Linked DNA regions of Struthio camelus. The protein of the gene in region 2 binds, or shares a complex with, the protein of the main gene of each other region. Links are inferred from orthologs where the notes say so. Each region holds a gene or a part of one and is shown on either strand. Other genes may lie near its edges.

Evidence for each region. The genes of interacting proteins can lie anywhere in the genome.
Region 1: TRAPPC11 (region 2) and TRAPPC12 share a complex: the UniProt entries of both Homo sapiens proteins name them as parts of the multisubunit TRAPP (transport protein particle) complex. The link is inferred for Struthio camelus from reciprocal best matches to the Homo sapiens genes TRAPPC11 and TRAPPC12.

What each region holds. Positions count from the first base shown.
Region 1 is NC_090944.1:27,993,291-28,000,740, reverse strand, and holds the start of TRAPPC12 (trafficking protein particle complex subunit 12), read left to right. Parts: upstream 1-4,412; 5' UTR 4,413-4,503; coding exon 4,504-4,522; intron 4,523-4,664; coding exon 4,665-5,872; intron 5,873-7,450. Other genes in the region: EIPR1 (EARP and GARP complex-interacting protein 1), read right to left, coding at 3,623-3,664. UniProt on the Homo sapiens protein: Component of the TRAPP complex, which is involved in endoplasmic reticulum to Golgi apparatus trafficking at a very early stage.
Region 2 is NC_090945.1:50,752,725-50,760,730, reverse strand, and holds the start of TRAPPC11 (trafficking protein particle complex subunit 11), read right to left. Parts: upstream 3,025-8,006; 5' UTR 2,894-3,024; coding exon 2,690-2,893; intron 1,736-2,689; coding exon 1,566-1,735; intron 1,216-1,565; coding exon 1,145-1,215; intron 1-1,144. Other genes in the region: RWDD4 (RWD domain-containing protein 4), read left to right, coding at 3,490-3,513, 3,784-3,864, 6,425-6,534, 6,648-6,792, 7,162-7,276. UniProt on the Homo sapiens protein: Involved in endoplasmic reticulum to Golgi apparatus trafficking at a very early stage.

The sequences.
Region 1 (7,450 bases), on a different chromosome or scaffold from region 2:
ACCAGGAATCAAGGTTGGCACTGCAACTGTGCCAAATAGCTAGCTATCAGGGAAAGCATCCTTCCATGCAGTTCATTTCCAAGGGTATAAGCATCATCCAATCGTCCCTAAACTAAAGCTAGTGCAGTATTTTCAGAAATTAAGCCATACTTATACTTATTGAAAGATATCCCTGTTTATGAACTCAAACAATACGATAGGGGAAAAATGATTAACCACTTGAACATATAGCCTGCTAAACAAAGGGTAAACTTACTGTATATTCCAAATTGGTAAATATAGGTCAACTCTGCAAAGAACAAGTAAGAACTGGATAACTTCGCTGGCAAACAATGGCTCTCAACTACACCCCTGAGATCCTGTTTATTACAGGCACATAACTCAGGATACTGATGAAGTCTACTAAGGTTCCTTTCAAAAGCATAACTTTTCTGTACTGAAGTGTTTTGCAGCTATTACTGTTGCCCCTTACTTCTTATCATGATCCATAGTCACATCACCCAGCCCTCATTTCATGAGAGGCAGCATCTCACGCTTTAACTCATTATCCATTACTCTGCAGTTGTCTCATTTTCACTGCAGTTGGAGGACCTGCTCCGGTTGTTGTCAAAGTTTTAAAAAACACCAAAGAATCACACATGCTAGAATTCACACAGATTATGCACGTTTGCACAACATTCATATAGCGTACTTAGACATTGAAGAGGCAGAAAACCACTCATTTTGAGAAACCACACTTTGTGGGTTATAATGGAACTGTGGGAGTGCATGAACCATATAAAAAGAAAAAGCTGCAGTCATCTGATAAAACAAGGGAGGGGAAAAAAGCAGATTAAAAAACCTAACTAATCAGGCAGAAAACTGAATTAATCATCAGTTTTAATCTTGCTTTGCCATTAGATGCTTAGCTTTTTCTCTGAAGAAAAGCTGCTTCTCACCGTTATTTGGTAAAACTTTTTGCCAAGTAATTACATATACCAAATAGTTATACACAATTGCAGGGCTCACGATTTATACCTTTAGTTTCCATTTTCATTCATCAGAACAGTGAATGATGGAGTTCTTCTAAGGAAGACACTCTTATTCTGCTGAGCTTTATTTTGATGAAAACTAGATTCAAATAAAAAAAATAGTAAATGATTTGTCTACTAGTAATCTTAGTTATGTCGATATATAAAAAATACTTGGCACGTAAAACTGATAATAAAATTATTGCAGTTTGATTTCCAGTAACTTAGTGAGTGGAGCACCCCAGAAGCAATATAAGCTTTATGCTGTCAAATTTTAAAGTCTGGGCACACTGGATCATATCAAAAGTATATCAGAGATTGGTACACTGTCTGTGACAGCAGTCAAAAGCAGGTTCTTACCGACTTTTGGAGACAAATGTGGTTTCGTAGTCTGCAATCCCTAGCAGAGCTTGTAGATTTCACAGTTTTACCACATATCGTTTTTATTCAAAGCAAGAAAGCAGAAAACAAGTTCCCCTCCCAACCCTTTTCTTCTTTTAAAAAATGCTCCATCATTTCAAATCTCAACTTTGAATAAACAAAGCCCTAAACTCTTTTTTAGAACTGAAGTAAAGTCTGGAAATAACTGAAAGAGCCAAACACAAGCAACAACAACAAAAATTTTTTTCAATTGCACCAAAAATTTTTTCTGAAGATATGCATCCCTCAGTTAAGCGCTTCTGATGTATGCTGGAGAGAAGTGTAAGCTGTGATGACAGAGCCATTACGAAACCAGGCTTAAAAAGAATAATAATATCTTTTACTAGACCTGGTGACACAAGTTAGAAAAACCATACCCATTTTAGGTTTCAGCCTCTCCATTAGAGACCGTCTCAAAAAGTACTGAGATGTAATTTGCTTTAAGGCCACATTGGCAGTTAATGGAGATCAAAAATAGAGCCTCCATCTCTACGCTGCTTTTCTGCCTTAGTCATAAAACCATCTTTTCTTCTCCTATTTTGTTTCTAAATGCATTAAGTGTAGACTCTTGGATTACAGCTATCCTCTTAGTCCTTTTGCTCCATCCTCCCATCAGATAGTCCTGTTACATACTCTGCAGGAAATCAAATGTCTACAGGAGATGTATTTTTTTTTTTTTTTTGGCAGGACCATGGGGGTCCCAGACAATGGTCTTTCCAAGATTTTGGAAGACTTATTTTACACAACTGAAAAAAGAAACTATGATTTTCATTAAAATACAAGATATAGTCTACTCTGTGATGAAAAAGAAATCTATGCATAAATTTAAGCTTTATATTAATTTTGAAGTAAGAGTTGCAGCCATCTTTAGCCAATCACAAAACGATATCATATTATGAAGACTCTAGCAGATCTAACATATACTACAGATCAATGTTTACACTAACTAGTATAGAAATGGAAAACAAAATAAAACTACAGTTTGCTAAAGAGATTTGTCGATACAGTCCGGATTACTGAGCATATAACTAAATAGGCTGGACATTAAAACAGGACATCAAAACCCAGCCCAGGGAGCCACTGCAGGTTGCCAGAACACGTTCCATGAGCACTTTGGTACAGGCGGCTATAAAATATCTGCATGTGTATACATACAATTACTTAGATAACCCCATCCACTGCAAAATGAAAGTGTTGTTCTGTCAGCTGCAGGAGGAACACAGCACCTCCTGTTGATACTACAACAATGATGGTAACCCAGGCATTGCCAAATGGAACATGTAAGAGCTGAGTAAAAACTTAATTGTGGAAAAGCATTATAAATTAGGAGCTCTCTCATCTATGCAACTGTTTAACCATTTATTCTACTAGAACTCATACAAAGTTGTACGTGACATCTGTGCTCCTCTACAAAGAGGATCAACAAATTCAAAAGTTATTAAGAGTAACACAGGTAGGTAGCAGGATCACAGCATCATCTCCCTGTTGCTAGAATCAGCGATGTGACGGCCAAATTCATGCTGTGGGACAAATCCAACAATGCAGAAGCTACATCCAGAAATATCTACAAACATTAAGTAGTTCAACAGTTGGGTATAACCTAATAAAATCTAAAATTCATTGGAAACAGCTATATTGCCCTCTTCTCACAAGATTTTTTTTTTTTTTTTGCTTAGTCTGCAACTGGAAACCAACCACAGGAACATCCTTGAGATCCCCGGTGTTCCCCAGTCATCCCAGCAGGAGACAAGGCCTTCTCCAGACGGGGACATGCAATTGCTGACAGAGCAGAAGACCAACAGCCGGGCTGAACGCGACCGTTCAGGAAGCCAACCCACAAGCCCTGCTGGCACCGCCCTGACGCATTCACCGTGCAAAGCGCCAAGTTTGGCGGCAGGCACCAACTCCTGCCCCGTGCTCACCCGCTCACGGCCCGGCGCTGCCGCAGGGCCGTGGTAGGGGCGCGGCCGGCGAGGCGCAGCGGCGGGCGGCGCGTCCGGCCTCGCCTCACCCCGCCGCCGCCTCCCGCTGGGCACCGCCAGCGCCGCGCCGCGCCGGCCTCCGGGGCGGCCCCGCGGCTCTACGCGAGGGCCCGGCACCCCCGCACGGCCCGGCACCCCGCCCGGCCCCACAGGCAGCGCGCCTGAGGACCAGGCAGGCCCCGCCGCCACCGCCGGCCCCTCCTCGCCCACCTGGAACTCCAGCCCGTAGATCACCGGCGCGTCGTCCTCCATAGCTGCCCGCCGCCGCCGCCCGCTCGCCTCTCCCCCAGCCTTTCTGACCCTCGGCGCTGCCCGTCGGCCGCCGCTTCCGGGAGGCGCGTTGGCGCAGGCGCCGCCCGCCCGCCCGGCCCGCGGCGCAGGCGCGGTGGGAGCGGCGCTCGGCGCGGCGGCGGTGCTGGCAGTGCGGCGGTCGGCGGGGCGGCGCTGCGCTGCGCTGCGCTGCGCTGCGCTGAGGTGAGGGGCGGGGCAGGCGCGCAGCGCGGCGGTTGCCGTCGCTGCGGCGGCCCCTCGCCGGCCGGGGACCGCCCGGGTGGGCGCTGAGGCGGCCCGGGGGGCGGCGGGCCCGAGGAAGGGCGGCGGCTCCGTCCGCACCGCGCCGCGGGGAGGCGGCGGCGGCGGTGGCGGAGGCCGCTCCCAGCGCGGGCGGCCGCGCTGTGCCCGGCGCAGTGCAGCCGCGAGAGCCGGCTCCGAGCCCGGCAGCGGCCGCCCGGCTGGGCCTGGAGCAGGGCCGGGCCGAGGGCCCGGGCCCGGTCTGCGCGGCGGGCGGGGGAAGCGCCGCTACCTGCAGCCTCGCTGAGGTCCCGGCTGCCGCCAGAGCTTCTGCGGGGCCGCCTGGGCTGGCCCTGGCTTCAGCAGCCCCTGGCGACAGCTGCGGCTCCGCCGGGACTGAACCCGCTCTTCCCTTCTCGCAGACTGGGGCTGAGTTAATCTTTCCAAGTATTTGGCCTTTGCGAGGCCAAATACCTTTTTTTTTTTTTTTTTAAACCTGTGTTTCATCGGAAGCATTTGCTCTTGAATCCTAGTATTTTGGGACTTCAGAACAGTAAAGAATAAAGAGAAGACCTTTTCTTATGATGAATTTATTCTGTGGTAAATGCCGAGAGAAATGTCAAATAGTGAAGTGGTTGTATTTTTAAATCAAGTATTTGTTTAGCTGTTGAGTTTCAGGATAGTGATTTTGACTAGGGCTTCAGTAGCAGAACTAATTCTTCCTTCATTTTTCTTTCTTTAGTTGCAATGGAAAGTAATGGGAGTAATGCTAAGGATGCTAAGAACGCTTCAGATGAAGAGGACAGTGGAGACAGAGTTCAGCAGAAAACTCGGGAAGATATTCTCTTTCATGAGGAAACCATTGATCTTGGCGGAGACGAATTTGAGTCTGAAGGGAATGAAACCGTATCAGAAGACTCTAATAATTTTATAGATAAACTTAATGAACAAATGATGGAGAGTGTCATTATTTCAGATTCTCCAAACAACAGTGAAGATGACACTGGTGACCTTGGTTGTCTGCAGGAGATTGTAGAACAAATGGAAGCCAAAGACAACCAAAAAACACAAGCAGAAGTGGGTAAGGAAGAGTTTTTAAGTAATGAGAGTGAAACTGAACATGAAGAAACACCCAAAGACATTTCTGAGATTGGAACAGATGATCAGACATCTTTAAAGGAAGAATCAATTCAGGAAGCAGTGAAAGAGGAACTGAAATTGGTAAATAACATTCCTGTTGGAACAAGACCAAGTGATACTGATGAAAGCAAACCTAAGGACCAGCTATCATCACCCAGTACTGGCAAACCGACTCCTGAAGCTGAGCCTATCCCTGTGTGTACCATTTTCAGCCAAGCAAACAATGTTAATACTCAGCCACAGTTGTTCCTGCATGATGGTTTTGAGCCTCAGATGGTAAAATCTCCCAGTTTTAGTAGTATAACTGAGACTCCAGTGAAGTCTAATCCACAGGTAGTTCAACCAAGTCCTAGTCTAAGCAAGTTTTTTGGTGATACTGTTAACACTAATACTTTAGGTTCTGATTTTTTTGATTCATTTACCACATCCAGTTTTATTTCTGTCAGTAATCCCAATGCAAGCTCTTCAGTCCCAGAACAAATGTCCTCTATTTCTTCCACTGGAGACAGTTCTCATGCTTCGCCTGACCCTACTTTTTCTCTGGGAAATGGGAGAACTGAAGCAGGTGGTCCTCCAGAAATATCTCAATCCCCCAAGCCCTTCTCACAAATCCAGGCTGTTTTTGCTGGGAGTGACGACCCTTTTGCCACAGCCTTGAATATGAGTGAACTAGACAGAAGAAATGATGCTTGGCTCCCTAGTGAGGAAACTAGAAACGTTCTAATTTCAGTTGCCACACAACAATACAGCACTGTGTTCATAGACAAAGAGAATCTCACCATGCCCGGATTAAAATTTGATAATATCCAGGTAAGAGTCTGTGATTATATGTTAGTCTCTGAATATATTTTAGAAATATTGAATAAGAGCTTTCCAATAGTTGTTACATCATCTTAGTGCTTCATATTGTTGCCTAGGGGCACCTTGTTTGTATTACTCCAATCCTTATCAGAAAATTTAGTGTGACTGCCTACTCATACGTGAAAGGACTAAAATAAGATCTGATGTATTCGTAGTGAAATTCTTTGGGTACATTGAAGACCAGTGTTGACAGCTTACGTAGAATCCGAAGCTGGTTGCTATTTTTAAGTCTTTTCAGTTAGTTTCGGCCCGTTCTAGTTGGAAAGATTATGCTCAGATTTGGAATATAAACTAAATCAGAATGCTGTCCTGTGAAGTCTGAAGGCAGACAGCTTTGTTTGCTTGTGGAATTCACTGTTGCAACCAAGCTGGAAAGAACGTTTTTTACAGTGATGTTCACAGTGCTGTGGATAATGTTGACACTGACTGGAATTGCATCATTTATATCTTTCCTAAGCAGTGGAAAGGCGTAAGCTATAGGAAAGATGAGTGCTAGAGCCAGCTGCTGGGAAGGAGCGGCATTCCAATTAGATCTTGAAGGGAAGAGCATAGTAGTGGAAACCCATTTCCTTCTCTTGTACCAGAGTTCACAACTGATGAGAAAGCATAAGGCTTTTCTTCAGAGTTCGGAGAAGTTTTACTTAGATCTGTTAAACGCTTCTAGTGAAGGAATTATATATCCTGGCAGCTCAGCAAAGCCAAATGGAGTTTTTTCTTGAAATAGGCAAATCCTACTTTTCCATATCTACGTCTGAATAGTAGAGTTGTCATCTAGAGAGGTAGTGTTGAGGGTTCAGATATTTAAGCCTTAATAATAGCATAACAAAGATTATCAGTTGGTAGCAGAATAAGGGTTCTTGCAGAACGGTCTGCAAGAACTTCTCAATTTGCAGTAACTATCGGAAAAGTTCCTGGAGTGAAAGTAGTTCGGACTTGTACCTGAATTATTTAAAAAATCTTAAGTTTCCTTTTTTGTGTCTGTCACTGAAGCAACAAATGAAAGATTTAGACATACACCATGCTGCTGCTGCTGCTGCTTCTTGGGTTAGCTTTATTTTAAAACGTTTGATTGTCATTGTAGAACCCAATCATTAGTGTGAAAGAAAATACTGTGGTAATATGCACCTCCTCCTCTACTTCATTCTACCTTCCCAAAAAATCACTTAGAGCTTGATGAGTAATTCAAGATTGTAATATTTCTCTCCTAACAGCTAATGAATGAAAAGAAAGAATATTTTCTTCCATGAGCCCAAAGGACAAGGTCCCTCTTATTGTGGCCCTCCATTTTTGCAATAGTTCTTTCTCGCTTTCTTCAGTTGAGTCAAGGCTTAAAAGGTTACTTGCACTGATCATCCCCTGAATCTAGGTCATATGCATATATGCAGATGTACCATTCAGTACATCATTGAAAAGAAGACATTTCAGCTGACCCGCTGTAAAATCAAGGAAGGACTCAAAGGGGATTCCTGCTACTTTCTTCATGGATTACTGTTTATAAACAGCTACATAGACATGTTGGCAGGGAGT
Region 2 (8,006 bases):
AAGCCAAGGAAAGCACAAGTAAGCACTGTGTAGTGCAAGGTCAAACTAGCTCTAAAAGCTTGACCAATACAACGTATGGAAAATTTAATACACCTAACATTGAGTACGTGTTCCTTCTTGACTTCATTCAGAACACTACATGCTTCATCCAGTGGAAGAGATTGCTAGCTAAGCCACTCCAGAAAGCTTCTGTAATAAGGTAGAAGCATGTCACAAATATTTCTTTAAATTTTTAATCTCCCACACAGATAAACATCCTGTATCTTGAAGACTAAAATGGCATCCAGAAGCAGATGGAGAGAAAACAAACAAACAAAAAAAAAAACCCACATAAACACACCCCTCACCAAAACACCCTACCTTAACCAAACGCTAGAGAGCGTGCAGCTAGAGCTGAGGTAGCAGCTTGAGTGAAATTTAAAATTAAAACCCACCAAATTCCACAATTCCACTTAAGTCATGTGTTTTTTGTCCACATTCCCTACTTTGGATCTTGTCTTTTAAAGACTCCTTCGCCCCTCCATTAAGGGGAATTTGCTCTCCTTTAAATCCAGAGCAGAGAAGGAGCCTTCCGAGAAATTCCATGACTTCCCTGCCAGATGTCTATCAAACAGGTATGGCCTAAAAGTTGGCTGATCCAGAGAGAAGCTAGCTGAGAAGGCATGAATGAACTTAACAAGCAGTCCTACCTTATGCTCCAAAATTTTATTGATAAACACTAGCAGTGTTTGAATAGTCTTAAACTAAAGGGTTCCGTAGTTACCAGATGCCCTTCCTCTAAGCTCTCATTACTTTTATGTTTTTTTTCCTTTATCTCCAGAAAGCTTTAAAATACAGACTACTTACAAGGAGACACATTATGCATATTACACTAACATATCATTTTTGATACACAGTATCAAAAGCTTCACTTGGACTTCGGAGGAAATAGTCAAAAACAGAAGCATCAGATTTTTAGGGTCAGCTGCCTTGAGCGTTCACTCCATTCGTACAGCTCAGTGCAGCCACAAATGCATTTTACACACATAAATGATAATATATTAAGAACCGTAGATAATGTGACAAACGATGGTCAGTTCAGGCCTTCTGGAAAAATGAGATCATCACAACTGTATACAGAGCAGTTTAATTAGCTTTCTAGTACCTGGAGGTAACGGTGTTTTTTTCTGAATCAAAACCACAGCAACTTTCGTATTTCGTCCCTGCAAACTTTGCCTAAAATAAAAATAACATAACATAATGTCAAGGTCTCATCCTATGTTTGTAAATAATCAGAAGAAAATGAGATTTCAATTTAGATGGAAGCATTAAAAGACTGTATACGAGAAATAAAAGCGAATGCAACAATACACTGCATCATCCACAGAATGCAGTGCTCTCTTCTTTGCTCACATGGGAGAGAACAGTTGTGCTGAGTTTAGAAAACAATAGTTAAGGAGTTTGAGTTGCCCTGAATTTGTGCCTAAGAAAAAAAATATTTATGCTTTATAATGCCACAAGGATTCTGCAATTTACACATCGCCGTTAGCTTGTAGTACATCACGAACTAGACAAAATAGCTCTACCTGACAATTTCAACTCGAGTAGCACATTCAGACTGTTTTTCTTTCCATTGTGGCTCCTCCCAGTCTAGTTCATAGAACACCACAACAAGTGCTGGAACCAAATTCAGGTGTTTGTTCATCCAACCGGTCTTCAGGATACCTTTCGGAATATACCACTCATAGGACGTTCTCTGAAAATATTTAACACATTAAAGCAAGCCATCAGGTCAGTTTATGGTCCTTTCAGTACAGTAGGAGAAGGGGTATTGCCTGTACATCCTTGCTACTTGGGGATACGTTTGTCATCTTTCCTTTGACATTCTTCCCTTCAAGCCTTTGTCTCCTAACAAGCAGGACATACACCTCGCTCCCAGGCATCAGAGCCAGATGGCAGAGACACGAGTAACCAAGAACGAGAGATTCCAGGTAGACTTTACAAAAGGGTTAGGTTCAGAAGTGTTTCACGCGCTTCTGTGAAGTACTAGGCCCATTTTGCAAAGGGTTTCCCATTTGCTCAAGAAGCTGTCAAAAGGATCCAAAACAAGAAAAGAGAAACCGGTTTGAGGTTTAGTTTCTTGCCAGCATCACTGAATTACGTGGCTTTCCAAGGATCAAACCCACCGATATTGCTTCTTAACTGCCCCTGCAAAGCAGAAAATAGAGCACAACAACTCCTTCTGCTGTGTCCCACTCAGGTAAAGACTTCACTTTTTCCAGGACACGCTAATTTCAAATACTTGGTTTTCTAGCGTTCAACTTAAGGTTTCATTACAGCTCAAACTTTGCAAGTACCTTAAAAACAGAACAACTGACGGGCAAGCGCTTTTACGGCAAGTCCCGTTAACGTGCTCTGCTCGCCGCTCCTGAAGTAAGGCCACCTGGTTCCCCACACATCCGTACCACGGCAACCGCGGCTCCCCCTCCCCACGGCGGCCGAAAGGCGCCAACAGCCTTCCCAGGCCCCCAGGCTCCCCCGTTTCCCCTCACACCAGCTGAGGGAGCGGCACCCGGGCCGTTAGCAGCTCAGCGAGCGGTGGACACGGCGCACCGGGGCGGACCCCCCCCCCCCCGTGTCCTCCCCGGGCCACGCCGCCGGCCTGCGCGCCCGCCCCCGCGCACAGGGCCCGAGGCCGGCCGGCGGCTACCTTCGTGCGGCACTTGGGGTACTCGTGGTCGCCGGGCAGCACCTTGAAGGAGATGGGCACGCGGTCGGCGCGGCGGTTGGCGCAGAAGGCGTCCCAGACGGCGCGGTGCACGGCGTTGTACACCACGTCCAGGCCGGTGAGGGTGACGAAGGCCATGGGCCGGCAGCACAGCTCCACCGGGAAGTCCCACTGCGCCGGCGTCATCCTCGGCCTCGGCGCGCGCGGCCGGCAGGGCGGCACCGGCACCTCAGGCGGCCGCCGCCGCTCGGCTCGGCTCGGCGCCCCGCTCCCGGCCCGGCCCCGCTCACCGCGGCGAGCTCAACCCCACACAGCCCGCCACCGCCACCGCCACCGCCACCGCCGCCGCCTAGGAGCGGCTGGGCGAGGGCGGGCCGAAGCAAGTGCCGGGAATCGGACGGGCAGCACGAGCAACCAATAGGTGCCCCTGCTCCCCCACCTCCAGCCACTCAGAGGGGACACGGGTGCTGACGACACTGGAGAAGCAGCCAGTCAGCGGGAGAAGGAAGCGAGGCGAGGCTGGCGGCGCCAGCCAACGGGAAGAGAGGGGCGGGGGAGGTGAGGCCGGGAAGAAGAAAAGAGCCAATGAGGTGAGGTGATGCCATCTCGCGGGGGGGGAGGGCGGGGCCGCTCAGCCGTTCCGCGCCTGCGCGCCGCGCTGCCTGTGCGACAGCGGGGTCCTGCCGGGGCGAACCGGCCGCGGGGGCGGGGGCGGAGGGGGCCGCCGCTGCCTCCGGCCTCCGGCCGCCGCCGCCGCCGCCTCCCCCCGCCGCGCGCGCGACATGGCGGCCAACGAGGACCAGGAGGTGAGGTCCGCCGGCGGCCTTTCCCGCCTCGGGAGGGGCCTGGCGTGCGGGCAGGGGGCGCCCAGGGCAGGCGGCGGCCGGAAGCGGCCTGCGCGGCAGGGGCGGCGCGGGCAGGCGTCAGGAAGGTAGGCCCCCTGGCGCCGGGCCGTGCCGGGCGCTGCCGGCCTCGGCCGGGGAGCTAGCGTCGTGCCTTGCCCCGGGGCCGCGTCTTGAGCTTCGCCCCCCCCCCCCCGGCTGAAATGGCTAATCGCTCTCTCGTGTTTCCTCCAGATGGAACTGGAAGCGTTGCGGTCTATATACGAAGGAGACGCGTGTTTCAGGGAGCTGAGCCCGGTTTCCTTCCAGTACAGGGTAAGGCAGCGTGAAGTTCTGTAGGTCGGGGCAAGGCGTTGCTGCCCGCGCGACGCAGATGTTTTCCTGTCGGACGGTGCAACATCCTCTTCGGCGTGACGTTACTCTGTGCGTTTTGTAGGTACAGCGCAGTTTTTGTAACGCAAAGGGGTGCTCCACAGGCTGTAAAGGCACCAAAGGCTAGATCTGTCGGCTGCTGTTCCAGAATCTTTGGTACGGTGATGCTTGATATCACACCGCTTAATATTTAGGCACCTGCCTCCAGTGTGCGTTTATTATCCCTTAACTAGGTAATCTGCTTGCACATCTGTCTAACGCATAGCGTATGTAACGCACAGAACTGTCAAACTGGCCAGAGCATGCCGAGTAATACTTGCAATAGCCAGTAGGAAATGACAGTTACAGAAAAGCGTATGTGTAAAGTCTGCGCCTTCCTTATTGCTCAGTTGCAAGGTTCTCATTTTCTCTCTGGGGGTAGTTTATGTGCCTTTTCTAGCTGCTAAGGAGGAAAATGCACAAAATGCTTTCGGTATGTATACTGGTGTAATTGGCTTTGGGGAAAAGTGCAGGAGGTTCTAGTTTGAGGTTTGCAATTCACTTTGGCATGAATTTCTTGCCGTCTTTCTCAAATATGATGAATTGGAAGTTCTCCTGGGCGTGGGCTGAGGCAAACCTTTGGACTGTCAGAGAACTTCACTGATGAAAACTTAGGTGCACATGGGACAAAAACTCTGAACTTGCTGTGTCCCTCAAGTGGGGTGTAGGCGTCTAAAACATTTTGATGATTTCTTAAGACTTCAGAATAGCACCTTTAATTGTAATGAGAAAGGTTGATTAGGAAATAGCACTTGAATCCCACCCATGCAAGTGCAGTCTTCCTTTATTGATAGGACTGCTTCTTTGCAAATTTTTTGTTCTCAGCAGAGTAAATGTAGCCTGCCTACCTGCCTACATACAATGTTGCATTCTACATTTGGCTAGCTTTTGTCCTTGCTAATTTTTCATAGACAGAGAATAATCATGGAAAAATTAGGAGAACCCAATTTAAATATTATATACTTAGTGTCAGATAGAGACCATAGCACATATTTCTTGTGAAAGAAAATGTGCATTATAAGATAGTATAGTACGATTAACTGCATGATAAAGTTGAAAGAATTAATATGCTCTTTTTCTGAACCTCATTTGCCTACCACATAGGTATTTTGTAATCACTGTGCTAAAAAAATTGAGATTAAAGAAAGACTTTTCAAATCCTGAGGAAAATGTAGCAGCATCATTCAGAGTAAGGCTGCCCAATTTGCAGGCTGCACTGACAGGAGGAGTGGTAACCATGCATCTTTCTCTATGGTTTTACTCTGTAATGTGCAGGCAGTGTTTTCCTGACATGAGGAAAACTCTGTAAAGCATACCACCAGTTCTCTTCATGGTGGCTCTGGGAAGTGGACTGCTTCACCGTGGATGATGTCTTGATAAATGTAGCAGAGTCCTGATTTAATGCCTTTAACCCTAAAACAGATGCCACTGAATATCACTTAGTCTACTCTGCTGACACAGAGACCGTAAACAAAATGAAAAACACTGATTTCAAAATATTGAAATGGGATCATTTGAATTTTGAACCATTTTAAAGTGCAGTAGCCTTGTCTCGATTAGGAATTTTTTTTGACTGCACTTCATTCCGCATAGGTCGATGAAGCCAGATTTTGACGCTTCTAAAATTAAGGAAATTCTTCTTGTGGTTTTAAAATACTAACTAAACCAACTTAATTACAGTAGTGTAACAAATCCATGTATGAAATGTTTATTTCTTTTTCTGTGGTACATTTTTGTTAGCCTATACTAATTTTCTGTAAAAAATTGTTTTAGTTTTTATTTCACAGAAGTTAACATAATCGTAAGGATCATAAATACAATTTAAATGAATCACTAAAGCTAAGTGTTTGAGAGAGTGTTTGACTTAGATGTTATTTCGGTTAAAGTGAGCCTTTTTTAACATAACGTTATGTTTTTTTTTTTCTTTTCCGCCTAGTTTCATTCTACTGGCTTCTTGACTGTTCTTTTGAGTCATTCTTTCTTATTGTAAGCTAAAATATCTGTAGGGTAAGACAAAAATACTAAAATTTTTACCTATTACTTGTGCTGTCTTAGGTCATTAATTTATTTTGTTCTGTATTTCACCACTGTGTTATGGTTTATTTTCATAATGGAGAAAAAAGAAGGTTTCATATTTTCTTTTCTCATATATGATTGTGTAGTATTTGCCTTGTAGACACTACAAAGAAGCATTTAAAACCAAGCAACATCTCCATAAAAATAACTTAGAATGCTTCTGCTCCATTTTCATAGGATGAAAACTGCAGAGTAGAGGTTAATGTTCATATGTAATACTTCTTTTCTAGATAAGAGCTTTATTTTCTGACAGGTAATAGCATGAAAATAGTTGTTATCTTCAGAAGAAATTTCAATAGTCTTAAGTGAAAGATGCACATACTGGCATTGTAATCTTTAATGAGCAACTGAAAACTGTTAATTTATGAGGTTTTTCTTCTCCCTCCAGATAGGTGAAAATGGAGATCCCAAAGCCTTTCTAATAGAAGTTTCTTGGCCAGAAACATATCCACAAACAGCACCAGTCATATCGATGGATGCTTTCTTCAACAACACAATGTAAATATTTAGGACAGCTTCACTCCCTATTTTTATATATTGGGGAGATTTGTTGGTTGACAAACTTTTCTTCTTCTGTCAAGATTGTAACTGAATTTTATGATTTCTTTTAGATCTTCAACAGTTAAACAAAGCATATTGGATAAATTAATGGTAGAAGTTGAAGCTAATCTTGGAACTGCTATGACGTATACGCTTTTTGAATATGCCAAAGATAATAAAGAATTGTTCATGGAAAATCAGCCTGTTAACACTGTGGTAAGTAGATAAACTGAGATCCTAATCTATTGCTTTTAAATCACTTCTCAAATATTTTATATGTAAATAGCAAAAAATGGTTATTAGAACTCTAAATACTTTATCATTCCGTCTTTAACATGTTAATCAGTATACTGCATATAAACATGTTAGTAAGTAAACAGTGGCACATGGAATATGGTGCCACAATGTTCTGTGGTCATAATTTTTCTATATATATTTTTATATATATATATATATGACAGTCAAGATATTTCAGTAGGTCTGGTTCAGTAATCATATTCAGATATCTTCATTCTGTATTTATACTGGCTTCTTAAGTATGATAGGTGAATGCAAAATATTAATAGCAATTTTTATCCTTCTCAGACTTCAGCAAGCAATAGTATTGCAATTGGAACTCCTGATGTGCCAGCAAGTAAGAAGAAAGATAAAAAGGAGCAGTTATCCAAAACTCAGAAACGAAAGCTAGCTGACAAAACAGGTTTGTTCGCTGTAACGCTGTTTTGTTTGAGCAGTATGGGAGTCTAACTTTTATAGCAGTGACGTCTTGCTGGAATCAGGATCAGTAGTCTCTTTGCTTATAAAATTGATTACTTTAAATCTATGATCTCTGTTTTACTTATTTTACATGAATTATGTGAAATGTTAGTTCTGATCAAAACAGCTTCCTACAGAGTACAAATTTTAAGATATCTTTTGTTATTATTATTATTTCTTTTTAATTTGTAACAAAAGTGCAATTTTCGAAAATATTATTTGGGGAGAGCATTTGGGACATCTAAAAGGTGTGCGTTTTGTTAACGGGCCCTGATAAGTAAATCACGTTATTAAGAACGTAATTTCTAAATGGTAACGTTATTTTTCAGATCACAATGCTAAAACATTTAACTTAGTTTATATTCTCAAAATAGAGCTGCTTCTGCAGACGCTCTCTGCTTTTAATGAAATGATGTGTTAATTGAAAAATGTTCAGCTTTTTAACTGATTCTGCAGAGGATTTGTATGTGTTCCCACTTAATTTTTTTAATGATCTGGATGATACTATCCTACTGCAGCAATAATTTATACTCTGTGATAGGAATTTCTGCTTATCATTTACCTATTCTAAATGCATAACTGGCATCCTAAATACTGGTCTTCCAAATGGAATTATGTGTAAAATTTTGTTCTTTGATAAAATGCGTCATTGCTGCCCAACCCAGCGTCGTTTT